4 linked regions of the Drosophila melanogaster genome follow. Changing the gene in region 3 together with the main gene of any one other region gives a genetic interaction. Each region holds a gene or a part of one and is shown on either strand. Other genes may lie near its edges. The genes, in order: Mlp84B, Akap200, dgo and Vang.

Region 1 (7,243 bases), on a different chromosome or scaffold from region 3:
CTCTAACTCGTCATCGAAAAAACGAAAAGCGGATTCTGCTAAGTCCACTAGCAGTATTTCCACCTCTGGCTCCGCTCTGGAGGATAACAATAGGTGGGGAACGAGAAACGCAAAGAAAAGGTCTTTTACAATTTACATTTTTCAAAATTTGGTAGTTACTTAGTTTACGCCTGATTTTAAAGAAACAAATGGGACTGTGTTGCACATCTATGATTTGCAAAATTGTTAATTTATCGAACACCCGGTGTAGACAACTCTTTTATTTTGTTATTCTAAATAAATTGTAATAATTAGAACATAATGTATATTAAACAGTGCCCAATGTTACTGAGAAACCAGACTTTTTAAATATGTTTTTGTAATTTCATTGAAAAAGGCAACTTTTGGAATCCGTTTCGTTTATTAGAGAATATACTAATACTAAAATAACCCCGTATAAGACCTTTTTCTACTGAAACAATGTATAGAAAAAATCACACTAATATATTTTTCGGTTGTTTCTGTAGCTTAATATCCCGCTATGATATCAAAGATGTTCAAGTTGCACTGACGCCTCTAACAGATTTTGAGAAGGAAATCGAGAAGAGCTCCAAGAGGGTAAGTTGATTTTTTCTTTGTTTATCTTTTAGCATACTATTAATAGAATGATAAACAACTCAGTTATCGTTCCGAAATATTGAGTTAATATAAGCTTTTTTACTTTTAAGGAAACTTGTTTCGGATCTCTTGAGTGATTTTTGCGAAACATTCTCTTAAAGTGTTTTCTCTCTTTTTGGATACAATGTTGCTATATTAATGATGGTTCCCATTATCTTTTACACTTGTATACAACTTGTCATTTAGTTTTTCTCTGATCAAACCTAAAGAGTGGGACAGAGAGTACTACTATATTCGTTTCACTCGCCAAAAGTTTTGAACGCAGGCGCCTTGCCAATTTTTGTATCATACTTATAAGTGGAAATGCAATTGCAAATGCATGTTAAAAATGTTTTGAGAAATTCTGCCGAAGGTGCGCGTTAATTATACAAAAGGTGTTGCCCACCCGTTCTTGTCTTTAAGAAATTCCGTGTTTTTCAATGCTACCCCTTGAACTTCGGAATTTTCGATCGATCCATTTTTTAAAATGGTGTGTGTTTCGATCGAAATACTGTAATAAATCAAATATTAAATTAGTTTGTTATAAATTTGAGAAACTTACTACTACTACTTTGATTTCAAAACTAAAATAATCGGTAAAATCATACCATTAGAACTAATATCAAAATGAAATCATTCTTAGTAATGATATTAAGAGGTATTTTCTGGCCGAGTTGGCCCCCGCCATGTCTGGTTCTATTTTGCCGATCTGATTGATGCTCAATGATGTACCCATGCCCCATTAATTTCCTTTTGAACCAAAAATGCATGGCAAAATATCGAATTTTAATTAAATGCAAATGCGCATGTTAATTTATTGATGTTGAAGTGCCAATGTTCCGAAAGGCAGGCAGGCAGTGGCTTTGAACAAGACAGTTGAACCATGTTGTTGGTCCAATAAAATACCAACATCATCTTTTTCGCCTTGTCATGAGCACGATCACCTGGAATATTCTGCTATAAAATGACCGTATATACAATTTATGAAAGCACATTTTTCTTGTATACTAGCATATTGTATATGTGAGAGCAGATATTTTGTGATTTGTTGGGATTCTTGTTCGGATGGCTAATGTATTTATTGTTGGGGCTATATAGTCATCCCTATCATTTTCTCTGGCGACAAAGTTGCCTTCGTGCCGTGTGCAGACAAAGACTGAAAGCGCTTGACAAATTTTTCAGCGCGATCAGTCGAAAATCGTTGTTAATCGAAGCTAAACTAAAATTAAGGATATTTCTCTTGCGAACCTTTTTATTACGAACGAAAAGTAAATATCAGTTTTTGTCAATGGAAAACGAAAACCAAAACCAAAACCAATCACGCATAACCCAGTAAATTCCAATATTTTGTGTTGTGCTTGTCTAAAAAATATCGGTTCAAGCTCTGCTACAAACCAAACGCGAAGCGATGAAAATACAGTTTTGTCAAGCGATCGTTTAAATTTAGAACTTGTGCGTAATTTGGACCATAATTTGACCCACAAATGAGAGGAGGAATGTATGGCTCCACACAGGAAGCATTTTTCCCACACACTATTATTAATAGATTCCGTTTTTTCGAGTGTGAAAAAACTTTACGGAAACTGTCTCACTCAATAAAATGAGAACTATTTGCGAGGAGTTTTTTTTTCAATCGAGTTTTATTCAAGTACAAATCGATCATCTTTTCATCAGATCAAATCGAATAGTCACTATCCTTGAATAGAGAAAAATTAAAGATACAGTCCTTACTCGACGTAAAAAACACGTACATTTTGATGAGTTTTATAATCTTATTGCATGCAAAAAGTATTATATTTAGTCGGGAATATAAACAAACTCCCAGATGCCTGAGGTTTCCAATGATATGCAACTTTTCGATCATCTTTGATAATCTCCCACTGGGATAAATGTGCATATAATATACACAAAAGTTAGCAAACATCCAAGAATGAGATACGGTCAAGAAAAAACGAGTGAAGGATATGGAATAAAAAACTTTTTCGAAGAATCGAAAAAGTTTAAAAACCGCAGATGCATACCAATATGTTTCCATCCCACTCTCTGGCGTTATTTGATGAAAACTGAAATAAAACGAAGGAAAACTGCTCCGTGTTGCCGCATCTTAAGTTTCTCAACTCGGTGTGCTGAGCAGGAAAACTCAGTGGCAGCGGCGAAAAGTCGACCGCGTTGCCGTGCCGTGTGCACTCACAATTATATAGACTAGTTTGCTTTGAGCAATCTTCCAGTTCAGTACTCGGCGCTTCCGTGTGTGGTTTTAGTGCGTTGTAGGTTCCGTTCTATCTTGGCTATAATACACTCACACCCAACGGTTGGATATCGCCAGCTCTTAACCGATTTTTTTGCACGCAGCAAAAGACCATTGCAAAGCACCTGACTAATCCATCGCAACCGCTAGATAACCAGATTACCGGCCAGGGACGATGCTCATCTGATGGTGGTGCTTTAGCTCTGACTCAGTTTTAGAACACCCAGATATGTACATATATATATCTGCCACAGTTATTTTTTGTGTGTGCTTTTCCCAAATCTATCTACCTGTCTGCGTTATTTTTATACAACATTTTCTGTATAGATAGATACACATTTATTGCTCATGTTTTTCTCTGTGTTCTGTGATTTGAAAAATTCCTCCTTTATTTTTTGTTGTCATGAGAAAGATGTTATTTTCTGATCATTAACATAGGAATCTTCAATATGAATTACGTATACATACGTCCGGTTGGGTAATTTTCTGGCACGGGCGATGACGTCTCGACTGACAGATAAGAATCTTGATAGATGATCTACATAATGCAAATTGAGGAGAAATTCGCGACTGTCAAGTTGAATTTGTAATAGTTCATTGTAAACTTAAGATAAAACAAGCGTCTTAATCGTCCAAATAGGTTAACATGTAGATTAGCTTGAATTAACTAGTTGGGCTTAGAATAATTTGGAAACCATTTAACATACAAAAATGACAGATGCTTACCTCATCGCTTTCATCGCCACCAAAGCTTCCACTCTGCTGCATTTCCCAGCAGGACTTACGCCACGATCCCATCGACTCTATGTGTTCTTCTATTTTGCTATTTCAGATAATAAACTTAATAAGTAAAGTAATTGTACTCGCGTAGATCATTTTGATAGCGTTAAAAAAACCGAAACACAGACAGAATGCCTTCCTTCCAACCGATCGAGGCCCCCAAGTGTCCGCGCTGCGGCAAGAGTGTCTACGCTGCCGAAGAGCGTCTGGCTGGCGGCTATGTATTCCACAAGAACTGCTTCAAGTGCGGAATGTGCAACAAATCCCTGGACTCCACCAACTGCACAGAGCACGAGCGCGAGCTCTACTGCAAGACGTGCCACGGTCGCAAGTTCGGGCCGAAAGGTTACGGCTTCGGCACTGGAGCTGGCACCCTCTCCATGGACAACGGGTCACAGTTCCTGCGCGAGAACGGCGATGTGCCGTCCGTAAGGAATGGAGCCCGCCTGGAACCCAGGGCTATTGCTCGTGCCCCCGAAGGTGAGGGCTGTCCTCGTTGCGGTGGCTATGTGTACGCCGCCGAACAGATGTTAGCCCGCGGTCGCAGCTGGCACAAGGAGTGCTTCAAGTGCGGTACCTGCAAGAAGGGTCTGGACTCGATCCTGTGCTGCGAGGCTCCGGACAAGAACATCTACTGCAAGGGCTGCTATGCCAAGAAGTTTGGACCCAAGGGCTATGGTTATGGCCAGGGCGGTGGTGCTCTCCAGTCCGACTGCTATGCTCACGACGACGGAGCACCGCAAATCCGTGCCGCCATTGATGTGGACAAGATCCAGGCCCGTCCGGGTGAGGGTTGCCCACGTTGCGGCGGTGTGGTCTACGCAGCGGAGCAGAAGCTTTCCAAGGGTCGGGAGTGGCACAAGAAGTGCTTCAACTGCAAGGATTGCCACAAGACTCTGGACTCGATCAATGCCAGTGATGGTCCCGATCGTGATGTGTACTGCCGCACCTGCTACGGCAAGAAGTGGGGACCACATGGCTATGGATTCGCATGCGGCTCTGGTTTCCTGCAGACCGATGGCTTGACCGAGGATCAGATCAGCGCCAACAGGCCCTTCTATAACCCGGACACCACGTCAATTAAGGCCCGTGACGGCGAAGGCTGTCCCCGGTGCGGAGGAGCCGTATTCGCCGCCGAGCAACAGCTGTCCAAGGGCAAGGTGTGGCACAAGAAGTGCTACAACTGCGCCGACTGCCACCGGCCATTGGACTCGGTCCTGGCCTGCGATGGACCCGATGGCGACATCCACTGCCGCGCCTGCTACGGCAAGCTCTTCGGCCCCAAGGGCTTTGGTTACGGCCACGCCCCCACTCTAGTGTCAACCAGTGGCGAGAGCACCATCCAGTTCCCAGATGGCCGTCCTCTGGCCGGACCCAAGACTTCGGGCGGCTGCCCGCGTTGCGGTTTCGCCGTGTTCGCCGCCGAGCAGATGATCAGCAAGACCAGGATCTGGCACAAGAGGTGCTTCTACTGCTCGGATTGCCGCAAATCGCTGGACTCGACCAACCTGAACGATGGACCCGACGGCGATATCTACTGCCGAGCCTGCTACGGCCGCAATTTTGGACCCAAGGGAGTGGGCTACGGTCTGGGCGCGGGCGCTTTGACAACGTTCTAAACGAGCCTATTTTATGTATATCCAATCGAAACCCACATCCATGTCTGTGAACCGTTCCGATGCATCTGTCTAATGACCAATCTGTTTTAACTAACTATCCCTGAAATTAGCTAACTTAGTCTTCGTTTTGCTTCCAACGATTTTTGATCAACGATGCACTGAATGCAATTCAATTTTCTTTAGGTTATGTGAGATTAAGTTTAATATGAAAACAAGAAAAAAAGAATAAATGCCAAAAACATAAAACTTACGACTCAAAGCGAAACTAACCATCGAACACAGACTAACGAACTAAACGACATTGACCACATCGAGAAAAGCAAAACTTTCTGCAGGTGAAACTGCTGCGAGCCAAAGTCGTTATTACTTTTTTGTATCTTAAACTATTTATTTTCGAAGACCAGCCAAGTATGTCTTATGCTCCAAATCGAATTACCCAAAAGCATACTTTGTGCAAATGGAAAAATTTTATACACATAAATATACTCTTACGACGAACAATGATGAAAGATATGATGTTGTATATTTAGCTGATTTAGTTCTTACGATATACTTATGAAATCTGATTATTTATAATGATGTTTGAATGATTTCTCACCCATCTAATCTCTTGCATTCTGTTTGGGATGCCAGCCATGGCAGATATAAAATATTTATTTATATATATATACATCAGCGTACATGTTCTGCATACACACACACACACACATAACATCCAATAATATATGCCCCAGTGGGTTCCATGAAAACAAAATGATTTCGAAATGGTTTTCGTAGTTTTAATTGATTTAATTGGGTGTGCATACCTGAGATTTCTGCATCTAAATGGTTGGTTGGCAATCTGATTGGAATGACCGGTGGGTGGTTGGGTTGAGTTCAATTCCGTTTGTTTCGGGATCGTTCGGTTCGGATTGAGCCAGCTCATCTGGTCTATATATAGCTTGTTCGGCCGACAAACATCGTGAAAAATAATTGCTCAACATACGCACAAAGAACGTTCCCTACATATACGTACAGGAATAAATCCTTGGTTGTGTGTGTGTGTGGCCTCTCGAGAAAAACATCGAAATGTTCCATAACCGTACTGAAATGGTTTTCTAAATATAAATATGATGCCAATATGCCTCACACAGCTGACCCGAAAGCTTTTCACAGCACTCAAAACTCTCACTCAAGAGAAGAACTTAAGAGATTGTATTTATTCGCATATATACTTGTGAGGAATCCCTAGTTATATTATAATAATTATAACACGTGCCTGCTGAGAATGTTGTGTAATAAATGCTTTACTCACCCACCCACCTAGAGCAAAGTTCTTATTGCTAATGCACTTTTAGGATCACCCCCCACCCGAAATAACCCCTTGGGAACAAAATTTTAATGATTCCGTCCCACGCCCACTTGCGCGCATTATTCACATTTCTATTCATTTTATTCGACATCCTATAGGTATGGTATGGTTTTATGCTCCGTGACGTTGACCACGAAAATACGTTGCCAAGGGGTTGGCCAAACTAAATAAATTATTTTTTGTTTTAATATAATTTTTTTTTGTTTCAGACACAAATATCAAATAAATCGCCTTCAGCCAGGTGTGTTTACGTTAGTTTTGGTATCGCATTGGCGAGAATATTTATAGACTTACCGAGTCAGCGTCTATTTTCGAGTGATTTTGGTTTTGAAATTGTTTCGCATATGACACACGGCACTTCAAAAACACCCGAATTGACGAGCCACAACAGTGAGAATATTTTTTGCGGACTGCGCCGCTGATGTTGATCTCTAAATATACTTGGAGATGTATTCTACTCGTATTCGATATGGCTTTTCTAGTATGTTATTAATGTTCAATTTCTGGCTTTGAATGGCGCGAATAGATTTATGCCTTGCTGAAGTCCGCGACTATTTGTATAACGGATCGAACATGATAATGGCTAAGATAGAGAACATGTGGTTGTGC
Region 2 (4,832 bases), on a different chromosome or scaffold from region 3:
GCACGCCAAATGCCTCCCAAAACAACAACACCTACAACACAAAAAAAAAAAAAATTTTAATGTGCACCCCCAGCAATTATGATAGTATGCCTGAAACCATACCGAATTCCTGCGGAATTAGTGGCCTCAAGTGGTCGAACCGAGGGCTATATCACTCGAGTTGTTCGAGAAGAGAACGTGAAATGAAAATCAGCTCAATCTGCAAACGTTTTCCACTCACACAGCCCCAGCAGCAGCACATCACAGCGGCAGCCTTCGAACATCTTTCACACAGATGTTTGCATATTAAATGAGAAATTCGCTCGCTTTCGTAGATATACGAATGTATGGCAGCGGTGACAAAGGACCTCTCAACACTTTGGCTTACACACACACCCATATACATACATATATACGCAGCTACCCATGCTCCCCAATTGAGCTTCGGACTTTGAGCTTCATATGTTTAGCGCACAAATGTGCCCTGGCAGACCGGTGTCTCCGTTCTGCGAATCATTAGATCGTATGGGTTACTTCCAAAATGACCATGCTTACTTACACTCATTTCCAGGAAGTAGCTGCACGAGCATTGATATATAATTACTATGTTGATAAACAAAAGGCATGTTCCTGGAATCTTTCCAGTTGTCAATAACATTACATGCGTTAGTAAATAGTCGAAAATATGTTTTTCGTACATGCTTTGCCACCTTTACTGCACTAAGAAATTCTATAACCGTACGTGAACCATCTATAACTTCTTAGAATATCAAGTTTTACTGTATTGTAATTCCGGAAAAGATTTCTGTTTATTTCCAAATAGTTCGCAGTTAAATTTAAACCCTAATCGACAGCTTTAAGGCCAATTGTGCGATCGAGCATTGCTGGTTAACCGCGAATCGCACTTGACGAAACGGCATGTTTGCCCCCAGTCCCTCCACACCGTATCGCAATGCAATGTTTACTCGAGTTTGAGCAAACGTTGACAAATTCGCCAATAAAGGCGACACCAAAAAGCATTATATGTATATGCTCGTCCTCAGTGAACGACTGGCAAATATGTACACGAAATTCGAGCCGACTTCAAGGGAAAACCCGCCACAAATTCTATGGGGCGCCCTCCCCTCCTCCTTAACAATAAACCAATTTCAAAGATACATTCGGTTGGCGACCGCTACCTGAAATCGCAGCGAAATAATTCAATTTGCTCAAATTTCGGGAGTGGGGAAAATTCAGAATGCAAACTCCATTCCTAATCAAATTTTCAACAGGCAAATTGATAAGATTTTCGGAAATATTTACAGTTTTGGTGCCTAAATTGGGTCACTGACAAATAAATTTGGTCAGGTTAGAACACAAAGAAGAGCATTCATTTTCAAAGAAAAGATTTCAGTAGAGCAATCATGAAATTTCACTTGTCAAATACGTTTTACGTATTAAGTACAGTACAAATATTTAACAATAAAAGTAATTATATACTTAAGAAATATGATTGTGACAAGAACTTGAATTTAAGATCCTTGACAGAGGCTACTAAAATTTAAGGCATTAGCATTCAGCGTTGCAAGTAGATCATAAAATTCTCTTAGCAGTAGTATAAATTGCAGTTGACAATCGAAAATCTTGTGATTGCGCTTCTGCTTCTTCCTCCTCGGCCTCTGCCCACCCACTCCATTCGTAAAGGACTCACACATGCAGCGAGGCACGCACACAGGCACACTACCCCAGGCACGCAAGCACATACACCACACACACAAAGACATGTAGGCGACGCCAGTTAGGGCGGTGGCTGTCTGCCCGTCTGCGATTGAGCGATTGAACGACTGAGTGACGGACGGACGGACGAACTGACAAACCGACGCTGCAGAAAGTGCGACGCAGTTTTTCGCAACAAAAGTGTAGGAAAAACAAAAAGACGATCCTCCTCGTATCGATAATCTGAGTAAACCGAGACGCAAAAGGGATCGAAACGTATACAAAGATCAAATGGCCACAGTGGGCACTCGCTATGTGCGTGCACCTTGCACAAGGATGTTTGGCTGAGAAGGTAGAAACATGTTGGCAAGTGTAATCAGGCGTACAATGCAAACAAAGAGGAGACAACGACAATGAACCAGAAGTCAAGGCGAAGCGATGGCACAAAGGACCAGAGCGATGAGCGGGCGAGGCGAAGGAAGGCGAGGCACAAAAAGGAGAGAGCGCTAGATTGAGCCGAAGAGACAAAGAGAGAGAGAGAGAGCGAGACGGATACGGATACAAAGCCACACCGGCATGGTGTTTGCCTCTGCCGCCGTCACTGCCTGCGCTGCTGCTGCGGACGCCGACGTGGTGGCAACGCCGACGCATTGAAGGCGGCACACCCAAAAATTTTGTAAAAAGGCAACTACTCCAAGGTGGCGAAATTCGAATGCTGTATTTTGCGGGGGCGGGGTTAATGACAAAGAAAGTTCTCCTTAAATGCATAAAACTCCATTTAAATATCTCTTTTAGTCTTCGCTTCTCCCATTCTTCACCGTTCACGCACACTAAGCCGCCTTCCATGGCGTCCTTTTTCCTGCCTGTGTGTGTGAGCGTCGGCGGGCGTCTCTTTTACAAACACTTGTGCCTCAAATACAGTTACCATTTTTGAAACCAGTTAGAAACTTTTCGTCAATAACTCTTTGTCTCCTTTTCAATCACAATTCCTTTAAACAAACACGAAATTCAAAGCGGGTATAGAGAATTTCAAAAGTAGCACCACTCACGCACACACACACACGCAAGCCGTCTGCCTGCTTGGCTTTGGTTTCTTTTTCATTTATTTTTTTAAATTAACTCCTTTATGTTCTGATCTTATGACTTAAAGTGGAATTTACCTGGCTCGATTCTCTCGGTTTCGGTTTAAAAACACACGCACTTGCTTCTTTCTTTGCTTTGCGATTCTACACTGGCAGCAGCTCTTTTTGCCTGCTTTCCGTTTCGGTTTCTTTTCTCGTTCTTGTTGCGCGCTCCACAAATAAAAAATGTCCGCTCGGGTCTGGTATTTACGTCGCGTTAGGATGTTTTCGCAGTTAGAACGCGTTAGGGCTTCGGGTCTAGTTATAGTGCTGTCCACAAAGTTGATGTTCCGCCAAATGGTTAACCATACAATTAAGATGACTAAAATGCCTTAACTTAAAATTTTTTTATAAATTATATTTGTTTACATCTGAATCCTATTTATTACTTGTTAATTGCAGTAAACATTTGCAGAAACGTAAAAATTACGACGTAAGAAATCTTCAAGATTATTCTATTAAACGAGAGAAAACTTCTATTAAGCTGACATTTGCAATATTTTTCTATAAATTTTGAAATATTAATATTTCCTTGGCTTAAACTTGGCTAAACTAGTTTTTCATTCTTTAAGTGTAATTACTTGTAATTTGTCTTTGATTTTCCGTTTACTTTTTTAAAAAGCGTTTCTTGTAAGTCTTTTTGCGAAAATCAAGTTAGCATGCCCGTTGCTCACAATTGCGTTCTGTCGGGCGAGGGGAAAAGTCGCAGAAGAAATTTTATACCACAAGAACGGAATTTCCGTGGCCAAATAACAACAATCAGCCAGCAGTCCCGTCGATCAGGAGTTAACCAAAGCAGGAGGAGTCAACCAGGATAACAGCAACACAATTCGACTGCACCCCAGAGCCTCCAGTTCCACTGGGTAGCTGATTTCAGCTGGTGGAGGCGGTGGGTGGTGCTCTTATCGGCCTGCGATTTCTTCCATGCCCGCTGCGATAACAGCCAGGCGGACTTGCCTGTCCAGGTGTGCATTTCAATAGGCACTGTACATGACTGGAGTGGATAATCCTTCAATGCATAATACTCCGTCTTTCAGTGCAACACCATGGGCTGCATCACCAGCAGCAGCAAGTTAAATGAGCTGCGCGGTCATGAGAATGTGTTTCGAGTGCGAGTGGCTCACCTGCAACCCACCCCGGGTACGCCCATCATCCGGAGTGGCTACCTGGAGCTAACGCCCCGGGAACTAATATTCCAGTCGCCTGGCTGTGAGCCCATTGTCTGGGCACTGCAACACCTCCGACGTTATGGGTTGAATAACGATCTCTTCTCCTTCGAAGCAGGACGTAGGTGTATGTCTGGGCCAGGGATCTACACGTTTCGAGTCCACAATGCCGAGCAGCTGTATCCGATGTTTCAGCGCTACATCAACGCGGTGAATACAGATGCCTTTGTGCAGGGCGAACGAGAAAGGGTTAACTCCGCTCATTCGGTGTCCGTAAATATGGGCCGTACTGAGGGCAATAACTATCTAGAGCCGGCTCCCCTAATGAGCCGCCAGTTGGGCAACTTCCACAGTGAGCCCTCGAGCACAAGTGCATCGTATCCGCTGCAGGCCAACGATTCGCAAGTCGATGACTCTCCGCCCAATTTGCAATCACCAGTCCTGATACCCAGTGCCTATTTGGATCAGCCATTGCGGGCTTTGCAGGACTGTTGTCTGGAAGGCACCGCCTCGGATTTGCTTTCCACCCCGCCCTCCGGCAATAGGTTGACATCACGTAGGCGCACGATGGACTTGCCACCTCTGGAATCGGCCCCAGCACCAGCTCCAGTTCTGAGTCCCAACGATGCTGTGCACATGTACGCCAATGTGGAAGCTCTGATCTTTGATCTGAACAATGAGCGCTGCTATGAGAACGTAAATCGCTTGGAGCTCCCTCTGCTGCCGAGGGAACCAATTTCCAATCAAGAGCCGGCCACGCCCACCAGCTTAGCGGGCAGCTGCGGAGTAAACTATATAGTGCTGGATCTTGATCAGCCGCGAAGTCCCGTGGGACCGGCGGGTTCATCAAAGGCGATCAATGGATTTGGCA
Region 3 (6,272 bases):
ACGACCGTCACGCAAACGTGAAAAAGGGAAAAAACCTTTACTTGAAAACTTCCGTAAGTACTTCTCTTAGATGTAGTTCAAAACTAATTAATGAAAATGTCAAATTACTTATGAAGCGAGTTGGCAGCTCCGTGTCCAAGAGCAAACACTTATTTTTAAACATATCGATATAATGCAGCAGTTTAGTGCGCGGGAGAAGTATTTGGTGTCCAACACCTTAAATTGTTGGCCCGTGATGCTGCAGGGTCATTCCGTACTGATCGATCTGCACAACGAGACCTCTGTGGCCGGAATCATCGATGTAGCGGATGGACACATGACCTGCGAGCTCACCCATGCAGTTTTCATCGATCGCAATGGTGGTCAGCACCCCTTTGATCACTTTATGGTGCGGAATCGAATGATACGGCAGATCCACATACCTTCGTACTTGGATGCCGAGCAGGAACTTCGAAGCGCAATGGAACGGGGAGTCCTGCGAAGAAAGCGAGTGGAAACCAAGGGCGGAAAGCGGACATTCAAGCAAAAACGAGCGGAAGTGCGACACAAGGAAACATTGCAAATGATCTCACAGCAAAAAAAGAATAAGGAAACCTAAACTATTAATATATGCGTACTTGTTATATTTACCAAAAATACATTACATACATACAACTACATTTATAGTAATAAACCTATGAAAAGCAAAACAAATTAGCCCAATCAATTATACACAAAACATAGTCTCTAGCACGTTTATTTATTCCAAGAAATTCAAACGTATACAAACTGAATATCTTATATTCCCTTAATCAAAACTCTACTTAGCGGCCTGCTGCTTCAACTGCTCCTGGTACATGTAGTGCAGCTCCATGCAGTCGGTGTTGGAGATGTTTACCCAGCCGTCCTCCTTAATGTGATACACGCGAATGATACCACCGGAGTAGGCATCCCTGAAGGTGGCATGGTAGATGGCGCGACGTCCCAGCTCCTGGGCCTCCTTGTCCTCCAGGTCCCAATGATAGCCAGAGTCCAGGACACCGTAGGCGTACAGCGATCCACTACCAACAGAGAACAAATTGCCAGGCGTGCGAGATCCCTCGGAGTCCACATAGTAGAGGCCTGGACCACGCTTATCGTAACCGGCCAGCATCATGCCCATGCTCAGACCCATTCCCTTGTATTCGTGGGCAATGTTGGCCATTATCTTGCTGGCGGCGGCCACCGAGATGCGTTCCTTGTTTCGAAGCTCGTGAAGGCGGCATTCCTTCGAAAGGACCCTGTCCCAGTAAACGCAATCGGCTGCGCCACCGGCCAAGGTGCCCAGCATGAACTGATTGATCTCCACGATCTTCTTCATCGACTGGGAGCCAATGTACGATCCACCCGTGGCACGGGAATCGACTGCCAGGAGAACGCCGCCCTTGAACTTGAAGCCCAACGTTGTGGTGCCGTGATCGAAGTTGATTTTGACGCCGGTCTTGTCGCCATTGGCCTGGATCTGATTAAGGTTGTGCAGGGGCTGAGGAAATTGTCAAATTTTTTAGTAAATTTCCCAAGAAGATCAGCTAATTAACTACATACGTTCTCGAATGGCGGAGCAGCCAGTGTGTAGGGATTGGCCAGATTGCACATAAGCCCTTTTTGCTCTTCCTCCACATCCGCCGATGACCAGGCATTGGGCCGCATGTACGGAGCATTCGATATCTTGCAGATTTCAGCTAAAGCCATTCTTAAAGCTCCTTAAAAAACAATTGGAAACGTTGAATGCGAAATGCCGATGACAAACAAAATTCGTTGCCTACTTGTAGAGTGACCGTACTTCTGTTGGAGCAATAATGCAGACTATCGGCTTCACCGTTAGCTGTCGCAGGTACGGCAACCCAGCTCGAAACCTGTTGCCAATTTTGCCTGTGATTGGCTTTCTTTTAGTCTCTTTTTAGGCCTGGCTTGAAGCCAAATTAACTCTGGGCGTTCCATCAATCCATCAATGGCCAAATACTGCAAAGTCGGGTACTGAACAATAGTCGAAAGTAAACATGTGTAAATACGTGAGAGTGGCGAATTGCAATGCGTAAATTGCGGTCCAAAGACGGGATTTAAAATTAGTGAAAAGTAAGTCGGGAATCGAGAAAACCTAGGCGCACTTTAAACCTGGTTTTCAGGTCTAGAAATTTACTGTAATAGTGTTGAACATTTAAGAAACCATACATGTTTTATCAATGTGTTATAATGAAAGACATTTAATCTACCCTCAAAAAGGTTGTATTTCAAATTACGAGTCCTTTATTTGATCGCTTTTGGTAACTCCCACTTCTATTTGTAATGACAATTACTACGTGGTACGCCATTACGTGAGGCACACATACATGCGCATACACGGCTAGAAAATGTGCGATCGAAGATCAGATTCATTTGATCCCAGGTCAAGTTAAGCTCTTTCGTCGTCAACAAGGTTATATCAAAGAATACCATCTTTCATATGATTTTCGACATATAAACGATTCTAACGGTAATTACGGTACTTTAAGTAAGATTTTTCATTTATTAAAGACAAAATGTAGTTCTAATATAAATAATTTTTTTAATTTTATCTGGTTTTGATAAAGTGTTACTTAAAAAGTTATAATTGCAACACATCATGATAAATGAATGAAATTATAATTTAACAAATTTGATAAATAATGAATATTTTCGCAGACAATGCAGCATGGATCCTCCCGCATTCCGAAACAGGAAGCTCTCCCGAATGCGATATCCGGGGTAAGTAAGGGCACTTGCCTGAACCAACAAATCTTACACCGATGTAACTTCTTTTTCTGATTTAAGCCCGACTCCAGCAATTGGACTTCGCTGCACGAGGCGGTAGCCGCCGGAGATGATCGCCGGGTGGAGGGTCTCCTGTTCAGCAATGCTGATCGACTGGCCAGGGAATCCGTGCAGGGGAATACCCCGCTCCATGAGGCCGCCAGTCGGGGGTTCAGTCGCTGCGTGAAATTGATCTGCACGCCCCCCACGCCACCCGCTTCCTCGGGGGTGGGAAAAGCAGCAAAGGGACAGAAGGACAAAGACAAGGATAAGAACAAGGGCAGAGTGAAGGTGGCCCACCAGACCATCGAAGCCCTACACAATAGCGCCCTGGGTATTGCCAACAACGAAGGGTTGTCCGCCCTGCACTTGGCCGCTCAAAATGGTCACAATCAGAGCTCTAGGGAGCTACTGCTGGCCGGCGCCGATCCCGATGTCCGGAATAATGTAAGTGTTGGATCATATCAGTGATAACCATGTTTAACATGTTTAACAATTTCAGTATGGAGATACTCCGCTGCACACCGCCTGCAGATATGGACATGCAGGAGTCTCCCGGATCCTGCTCTCCGCCCTTTGCGATCCGAATAAAACAAATCTGAACGGCGACACCGCTTTGCACATCACCTGTGCCATGGGTCGCAGGAAGCTGACAAGGATTCTCCTAGAGGCAGATGCTCGGCTGGGCATTAAAAACGCACAAGGCGACTGCCCCATGCACATAGCGATCAGGAAGAACTACCGTGAAATCATCGAGATCCTGAACACGCCGAAGAAGATACGGAATCGCAAGGAGAAACCCAAGGAGGGCGGCAGCAGATCGGACAAGGACAGAGATCGTGAAAGGGATGTGGTGGACAAGGGTATCAACTGGTCACCCTATGGCTGTCACTACTTTCCCGATCCGCGTGCCTTTCCTTCACCAAAACTGGAGACACTGCCCAAGGAGCCACTTAAGTCGGGGGAGCAATACTTCCTGGATTTGGCTGGTCATATTCACAAGGGTCCGGTCAGCGTGGGCAACACATGCTATTGCGGTCCCTTCTTCCGTCACATTGAAAACAAACTAAATTGCAATCGAAAGAGTTTGAAGAAATACGTTCACAAAACCAAGGAACGTCTAGGTCACAAAGTTCAGGCATTGGCAATCAAGACGAACGATCAGATTGAACAGCTCACAAGAACGATGATCGAGGACAGATTGCGATGCGAGAGCAAGAGGCAGCACCTCAGTGAGTTCCTGCGACGAGGTGAACCTATGCGGTCCACCTTCGATCAGCAGAACAAGAGCTCAAGGATCGAAAGAACAATGTCCAGGTGCCGCAGTCTAGAGCTCTTGGAAAACAACCACGAAGGTGGTAGGCTCACCAACTCACGGAGTGTAGATGTCCTGGAAGATCAGGCAGTGGAGGCTATAGTACACCGATCAGCGGAGGTCCAGGTGGATAGCGACAGCGATGACGATTCCAATGAAGCTCGGGATGAAGAAGAGGCAGAAGTGGGTGACAAGGACCAGGTGCAAGAAGAGGCGGAACCAGAGGAGCACTCGAAGCTAGATGAACTTAAGCTAGATTTCCTAAAAGTCTCCGAAAGACTGGGAGTGCTTTTAGAGAAAACCACCCTGATCATGGAAAGGGACAGCGAACAGGAGAGCAAGCGCCAGCTTTCTTCCTTATCGCCACCTTATAATCCCCATCCAAGGGCGGAGTCTGCCCAACTTCGAGAAGATAAAGAGAGTGTTAATAGTCCCAATTTCGACGAGTACGCCAACGTGATACGACGCTATCCGAACTCCAGTGAGACCTCAAATCCCTCCCAGAACTCCAACAGCTGGGACTGGGAGGCATCACCCACGGGCAGCAATCCCCACCCGGATTACAATAAGTACTACCAGCGCATTGGGAGAGGAGAGAACATGCTGAACTCGGTGATCAAGGCGCTTCGAAAAGATGCCTCCTTCGCGGATCTGGGCAAAGAGGAGACGGCTGTCAATGAAACTGCCGAGGGAATGGGAGGCGACAAGCTGCTCTACAAGGAGCAAGCGAGCGAGGCGGCAGGTATCTCCAATCTGATGAAACGGCAGCCTCTTTGCTTGGAAGACAACTATCCCGTCATGTCGAATTTATTTTACTCCAATCCCATCATGGAGTACGCCGAGGAAACAGAAGTGCGTCAAAATGGCAATGAAAGTATGAGTAAGGTGGAGATTCGGAACAGTGAAATCAAGTGCCTAAAGAAGCCGAACGCTGGTCAGGTGAGGGATATGGTGGCCCAACTGCAAAACACCATTGACTCCAATCGACAGGACTCCCAGACGGCACATGTGATCGCCGCAAGATCACACTCCCGCTTGAACAATAACTTCCATCACTTGGAGGGCACCTCTTCGAACCCTTCGCCCACGTATAGTATTCCCCACCGGAGTAGCGCCCAGTTTGGGCTGCCCGAGAGACACATACCCAAAGATGCTTACTTCCATGAACTGCCCCACCGTCCACCGATTCCGCAAACTCCGCAGAGAAGGCTGCACTCCGGCTACGTACCAAATGCGAGTCTCTATCGCAGTGAAGATCTTTACGTGGGAAGGATTCCACATCCAAATGCTCCACCAAGACAAGTGGACTACGTGGATGCGGTAGCCTATAGGCCTCTGCAGTCCCCCACCTTTCAGGCCATTGTGCCGCCCCATGTTAATCAAAGGCCAAGGAACTGGCCTCATCCCAATCTTCCATCCAATGAAATCGATCTGGACGAGCTGTCTGCCGTTGGCCTCTACAACAATGTCTCGAGTCTAGTTTGAGTTCGGTAATCCCACAGCTGTTCCCATTGTACATAGCTAATCCCTACATATTTATCTTAATTGTAATCAAGTTTTAAACTACAAAGAAAAGTTAACTTATTTTCAACTGATGCATCTAATCTGGAGGGTCTAAAATATATAAATATAATACAAAGATATATGTACAATAATTTTGTTGTTTTTTGTTGAGGAGTTTTGGGTCTGAGTGTTTTCATATTCTGCGTAATTTATGAGAATATCGTGTACTTAATTATTTGGTTATTCCACTTTTGACCCCAAAAATACCCAAAATATTAAAAACGTTCCAACCTGCTCGCTTGTAAATCAAACGCAACCGAATGTTTTCGATCAAAATATATTTTTCTTTAAAAATGTTTAATAATAGTATTTATGCATGTGTAAATATCAGAATGTCAAGTACATATATTTATTGATAACAGATCATTTTGGTGTTTTGATAGACATGCGGCTTATGAACTCTGTATAATTGTGTAAACGAAATCAACCAGGAAATCATCTCAATAATCGAGCTCCGATGTTTGGTGGGAATTCAAAAAAACCAAATCCCCACCGCTGACAAAAGTAAACAAGTAAATTGGGCAACATTTTGATATCGTTCACCAATATGTCTGCGGTATTGTTAGTACAATTTTAGCAAGTGCCTAATGATGATTTCTCGATGTCT
Region 4 (5,662 bases), 1.7 Mb from region 3:
AATCAAGTCCCGTGTACGCCAACGCTTGGATTGGACAAGCAATGGTTGCGGAGTTGATTGGCGATCGCGAGGAAGCCTTTGATCTGTTTCGTCACTGCCAGCAGTTCGATTACCATCCGGAGGCGGCGCTTGGATTTGCGCATTGGGTGTGCGAAATGCTGTCGACTCCTGGATCTTTCGACAAGCCGCGCATAAAGCATGCCATCGAACACATGTACGCTGATGTGCTTGCGCTGGATGCCATCAATTGGTAAGTATTATAGTAATGCCCTATCTAAAACCAACTAAAGACTTGCAATACATTTAAGGTATGTGCAAAACGAGGAGACGGATGCGACACCAGCATCGCTGTCGTTCCAGGGATTTCTCTACGCCCGGAAAAACCTGTATCGCCAAGCAATCGAAGCCTTCACTCGGGCGTGTAAGTTGTGCGAACCTGGAGCGGATCGTGACAAGCTCTACACGAATCTGGGATACCTGTACTTAAAAATAGACCAGCCGGAGCAGGCGGCACACGCCCTAAACACGGTTGCACATGCCACATTTAAGCCGATCATTGGCCTGGCCCAGGCATATTATCTAGCCGGTCAGTTGCAGGAATCCTACTCTATTTACAACTCCGTTCTCGGCAACGTGGTTGATCATGGCGATGACAAAGCAGCTACCATCCTCGTGGCTATGGCATCCATGATTTACGACTTTCAGGGCGAAGCGGACACCAAAACCCTACTCTATCAGTGGTTGGTAGCGCAATATTTGTTTTGTTGATTCAACATTTCTAACGTTATAATCACCAAAAGTGTCTTGTTGAAGGAGGTCCCCATTCAGGCGTTGTTTTCAGCCCTTGCCCTAGGTATACTTCATAGAGATAATGCGTTGATCCATACGATACTGACGGAGCTGAATGCGTACGCCTTTAAGAAGGAGTATTGTGCCGACATATCCTATTTAACGGCTCACTACATCCTGATAAATGTTCGTTAAAAGTGGTGAATGTTGTGGTTCTACAAAAGTAATACTATGATTTTGTTTAGGAGGGTGCCCGAAGAGCGTTGTGCTATCTACAGACTCGCATACGAATGTTTCCCAATTCCCGAAGTCTGCGAAGTGTCGTGCTAAAGTTTCTTCTTGATTATTTCTCTGATGACCAATCCTATCGACTGGCTACTTCAAATATGGGTCGAATAACTCTTACTCTGGGACACACTAAGCAACAAAATAGGTAAGACTTGGGAATTTATATACATTGTATTATGATAGACTGAATTTGTTTATATTTAGCATCTTGGCCAGCGAAGAGGCACTGACCACTATATATGCCAGTCAGGCGGTTAGTGCAGTAGACAAAACCTGTTCTATGAAGTTGTTGCAGCGCGCCATACTGCTAAGCCCAACTGACCAGAGAGCCAGACAATTACTTTCCGCTATTATTGCAAATTCATGATATTGTCCAACAAAATAAACTTACTTTAAAATTTAAACTATCAGTTTGGCGGTTGAATTGCCAAACTGATAGTGTTTGAAAACACTAAATGCAATGTGACCGTGCTGCTGATTGTGTTGCGGTGGTCACACTGCGTCGGGGGTGAAGCCAAGTCCACGAAAAAGTGAATAAAAAGCGAAAAATGTGCGAGAAATAGTTAAATAGCGTATGAAATAGCCATGCAAGACACGAATAGTGACAATGTGCCGCAGAATTAGCCGCAGATAAAGCTCTAAATCGCCTATAGGCTATGCACTGCGCCCTGCATACCTGCGTATGAAAAACCTGCTGCCGCCGCAATTACAGTTAGACACTAAAATAGCTGCACGGCCAGGTTGCAAGGTGATTTGGGGCACGTCTCTTCGCGAGCAGGAGATTCGGAATCGGGCATAGCTCTCGCGCGCTAGCCCAATTGCAATGGAAAACGAATCCGTCAAGTCGGAACACAGTGGACGCTCCAGACGCTCGCGGAATCACAACAACAACGGCGGAGGGGGTGGCGGCGGAGGTGGTGGCGGAGGAGGCAGTGTCAACAACGGCTATCACAGGGAGCGGGACCGCTCCAGACATTCCCACCGCAGCACACACTCCTCGAAGTCGGCCAAGGGATTTCAACGTGGCGACATGGCACCGTACCAGACCAGCGTTAATATGACAGGTGAGTTTGTTTAATGGCTCTATCGGTGGAAGGAAACCAATTGACCCATTTATTATTTGGGCACCAGGAGACGGCAGCCACGATGGCCAGGAAGTCATCGAGGTGCAAATCCTTCCGCAGGACGAGAACTGGGGCGAGAATACTACCGCCGTCACGGGGAATACCTCGGAGCAAAGCATCTCAATGGAGGACATAAACAACATGTGGCATCGTGAGAGCGACAAGGGCTTCAGCTTTGCGTGCCGCCGATACGTGGAGTCGAGCTTCTACTTCCTGCTGGGATGCGGAGCGTTTTTTTCGCCAGTGGCAATGGTGGTGATGCCGTATGTGGGCTTCTTTCCGTCGGCCTTCGATCATCCGGAAATAACGCAAACTGTTCGCACCCAGCTGCTGGCCTGCAGTGAGCAGTGCAAGGGCCAACTGGTATCGCTGGCCGCCCGGCTGCTGCTTCTGGCCATCGGCCTGTGGGCAGTGTTCATGCGACGTACATCGGCCACCATGCCACGGATATTCCTATATCGCGCTCTCGTCCTCCTTCTCGTCACCATCTGCACGTTTGCTTACTGGCTCTTCTACATCGTGCAGGTCACAAACGGGGCCAAAATCGTTGTGGAGACGGGCGGCGATGCCGTGGACTACAAGTCACTGGTAGGCTATGCCACCAATTTTGTGGACACTCTTCTATTTATTCACTATGTGGCCGTGGTGTTACTAGAGCTGCGACACCAGCAGCCTTGCTACTACATCAAGATCATTCGCTCCCCGGACGGCGTTTCGCGCTCCTACATGTTGGGTCAGCTGAGCATCCAACGGGCGGCTGTGTGGGTGCTACAGCACTACTACGTGGATTTCCCCATATTTAACCCTTACCTGGAGCGCATCCCAATATCGGTCTCCAAATCGCAGCGAAACAAGATATCAAACAGTTTCAAGTACTACGAAGTGGATGGGGTGAGCAATTCGCAACAGCAAAGCCAGAGTCGAGCAGTTCTAGCAGCCAACGCGCGGCGCCGAGACTCCTCGCATAACGAGCGCTTTTACGAAGAGCACGAGTACGAACGTCGTGTGAAGAAACGGCGTGCCCGTCTTATAACCGCCGCCGAGGAGGCCTTCACCCACATCAAACGCATTCATAACGAACCGGCTCCGGCACTGCCGCTCGATCCGCAGGAGGCTGCCTCGGCGGTTTTTCCCTCGATGGCCAGGGCGCTGCAAAAATACTTACGGGTTACGCGTCAGCAGCCGCGGCATACCTTTGAGAGCATACTGAAACATCTGGCGCACTGCCTAAAGCATGATCTGTCGCCCCGCGCCTTCTTGGAACCCTACTTGACCGAGTCTCCGGTGATGCAGAGCGAGAAGGAGCGACGCTGGGTGCAGTCTTGGTCCCTGATCTGCGACGAGATCGTCTCTCGGCCAATTGGCAACGAATGCACGTTCCAGTTAATTCAGAACGATGTCTCCCTAATGGTAACCGTACACAAGCTGCCGCACTTCAACCTGGCCGAGGAGGTTGTGGATCCCAAAAGCAACAAATTTGTTCTTAAGTTGAACTCCGAAACATCCGTATGACACCACCACAACGCCCCTCCAATCAACACTCCCACTCATAGCAACCAGACGCAATCGTCCTACTTGCATGTGTTTGTCTGATTTTCCCAGCTACTAATTCACATATTCACATATTTTCTTTACTTCAGCCAAATCGATGACGTTCTTGTGAGAACTGCCATCAGGGTAATTGAATTCATTTTTATATATGCCTGAAACACCACAACCAATCAAACCAAGCAATCAAAATTACTTATCAATGAACAAGAGGAGCATTTTTAAATCGATCAAAACCCTGAATTTAAAAAAAAAAAGAAAAAAACATGGAAGTTTAGAAAGGAAAAGTTGTTGTGAGAACAAAATGTCTAGGCAGGCCTCAGCAGCTAAATTTTGATCTTGTAACAAATGATTATTAGATGAGAAGGCAACGTACTTATCAGTGCTAAACTTGAACTTATGACCCGAATATCAAGAAACAATGCTCAAAAGCCCAGTGTATCATCCTAAACCGACGCGAACATATCACACCCTTTGATAAGCAAACATGACTTACAAGTTCCCAAAGTATTAATTATAAGAATGATGGTTTGGCTTGCCGAACCGCGATCTTCAGATATCAACTCTTAAATGCAGCTCTTTTATACACGATTTTTATTTTAGTAAATATGTTTAGTGTAAAGTTGGGCTTACTCTTCGCGGAATATCTAAAATTTTACCCGATATCTGTGAGGCGTGAGCCCGATCGCTAGCCTTAAGAAGGAATGGAGTGAGCCAAGGCAAGCCCATGGAATTTTAGCTAGGACTCGGACTTGCGTCGAAAGTGCATTGGCCACTTTTGACGCGACTTAATAAGATTTTACATACGCACATTTTAAGCCGAAACCGAATGGTCCTAACTCTTCTGCCACAAAGTTGAGAAACGACGAAACAACTATAACTCGAATGCAACTGATGACAAATACATAATATAAGCGAAGACTGCCTGAATATGCATTTTATACACACAAATTGCCAACAGCCACTAGCAGGTGTATGTACTAGCCTGTGCATAGCAACCACATATATACAAAAACTCGTGTATTTTTAGAGACAAAATTATAGTGATAAGGACCCGAATTCGTATTCGAACATGTGTACGTTCCAGTGAACCCAATCTATATATACATACATATATGATATATACCTATTTACAAAACTACTTAGAAACGTTTGCTTGAGGTTTGATTTCATTTTCGTTTTCTAGCTAAATGTCTTCTGTCGAAGCTCTTTTATATTGCAATTATCTAGCAATTACTTAAAGCAATTGGAAAACCAACCTAAGCATACATACCATTTATACATACATTTACTCTCAAACTGTAACTGTTGTAATTGTAACTAGCATAAAAAACAAAATGCGTAAATAAATCAAACCCACTTCTTTAACAGCTTTAAACGAATTGTTCTATCTCGAAGGTGACGCAAATCGTGGAAATGCGCACGTAATTAATTCATTCTTGGGGGTCTTTTGAATGTCTGAAAGTTGCCTTATCAGCTCGGGATTAACAAACAGTTCCTATATTGATTATTGAGCCCAGCAGGTTTACCAAATCGCACTGAAGTATAATGTATGAGTAGATTTAATCGCAATCAATCAAGTTTCAAGTTCTTTGTGATACAAAGACTCGAATGCCTCTCGAATTTCTATGATAAGAGTAATAAGCTCAATTAATTCAAGTGGAGTGAGCACGATGGTCTCATTTCATAAGCTACTTAAATATCAAACTGAGGAAACCCATGATTTGGTGCCTGGTGGTGGATGGTGCGTTCGCTTTTATTTACATTATTTCATAAATACTAGCCAAATGTGAGTGGAATACTAACATATCAGATATCCTTTAAACAATAATAGGCAACAGCTTGCGCTGCTGTTGTTTTTTGGCTTGTGCGTCGTCAGTGCTGTTGGTATAGAACTTTCAATTTTAGACAGG

What was found.
Region 1: of dgo (region 3) and Mlp84B, changing one enhances a phenotype caused by changing the other (phenotypic enhancement), as found in Drosophila melanogaster (one study listed by BioGRID).
Region 2: of dgo (region 3) and Akap200, changing one suppresses a phenotype caused by changing the other (phenotypic suppression), as found in Drosophila melanogaster (one study listed by BioGRID).
Region 4: of dgo (region 3) and Vang, changing one enhances a phenotype caused by changing the other (phenotypic enhancement), as found in Drosophila melanogaster (2 studies listed by BioGRID).

The regions. Positions count from the first base shown.
Region 1 is NT_033777.3:7,112,312-7,119,554, reverse strand, and holds Mlp84B (muscle LIM protein at 84B), read left to right. Parts: upstream 1-1,822; 5' UTR 1,823-1,904; intron 1,905-2,838; exon of another isoform or gene 2,839-2,903; intron 2,904-3,716; 5' UTR 3,717-3,795; coding exon 3,796-5,283; 3' UTR 5,284-6,705; downstream 6,706-7,243. Other genes in the region: Alh (alhambra), read left to right, coding at 1-93, 507-597. UniProt on the Drosophila melanogaster protein: Plays a role in cell differentiation late in myogenesis. Transcription factor Mef2 is essential for expression.
Region 2 is NT_033779.5:8,413,889-8,418,720, reverse strand, and holds the start of Akap200 (A kinase anchor protein 200), read right to left. Parts: upstream 3,032-4,832; 5' UTR 2,835-3,031; intron 1-2,834. Other genes in the region: CG13398 (uncharacterized protein), read left to right, coding at 3,842-4,832. UniProt on the Drosophila melanogaster protein: Scaffolding protein involved in the regulation of PKA signaling and anchoring to the actin cytoskeleton integrating signals propagated by cAMP, diacylglycerol and calcium.
Region 3 is NT_033778.4:10,815,511-10,821,782, reverse strand, and holds dgo (diego), read left to right. Parts: upstream 1-1,898; 5' UTR 1,899-2,491; intron 2,492-2,679; 5' UTR 2,680-2,682; coding exon 2,683-2,742; intron 2,743-2,808; coding exon 2,809-3,234; intron 3,235-3,289; coding exon 3,290-5,587; 3' UTR 5,588-5,746; downstream 5,747-6,272. Other genes in the region: Lsm10, read left to right, coding at 173-598; Prosbeta5 (proteasome beta5 subunit), read right to left, coding at 800-1,501, 1,564-1,710.
Region 4 is NT_033778.4:9,101,676-9,107,337, forward strand, and holds Vang (Van gogh), read left to right. Parts: upstream 1-1,562; 5' UTR 1,563-1,900; coding exon 1,901-2,141; intron 2,142-2,208; coding exon 2,209-3,713; coding exon of another isoform or gene 3,714-3,794; 3' UTR 3,795-5,121; downstream 5,122-5,662. Other genes in the region: CG8777 (uncharacterized protein), read left to right, coding at 1-250, 309-740, 801-975, 1,035-1,222, 1,282-1,444.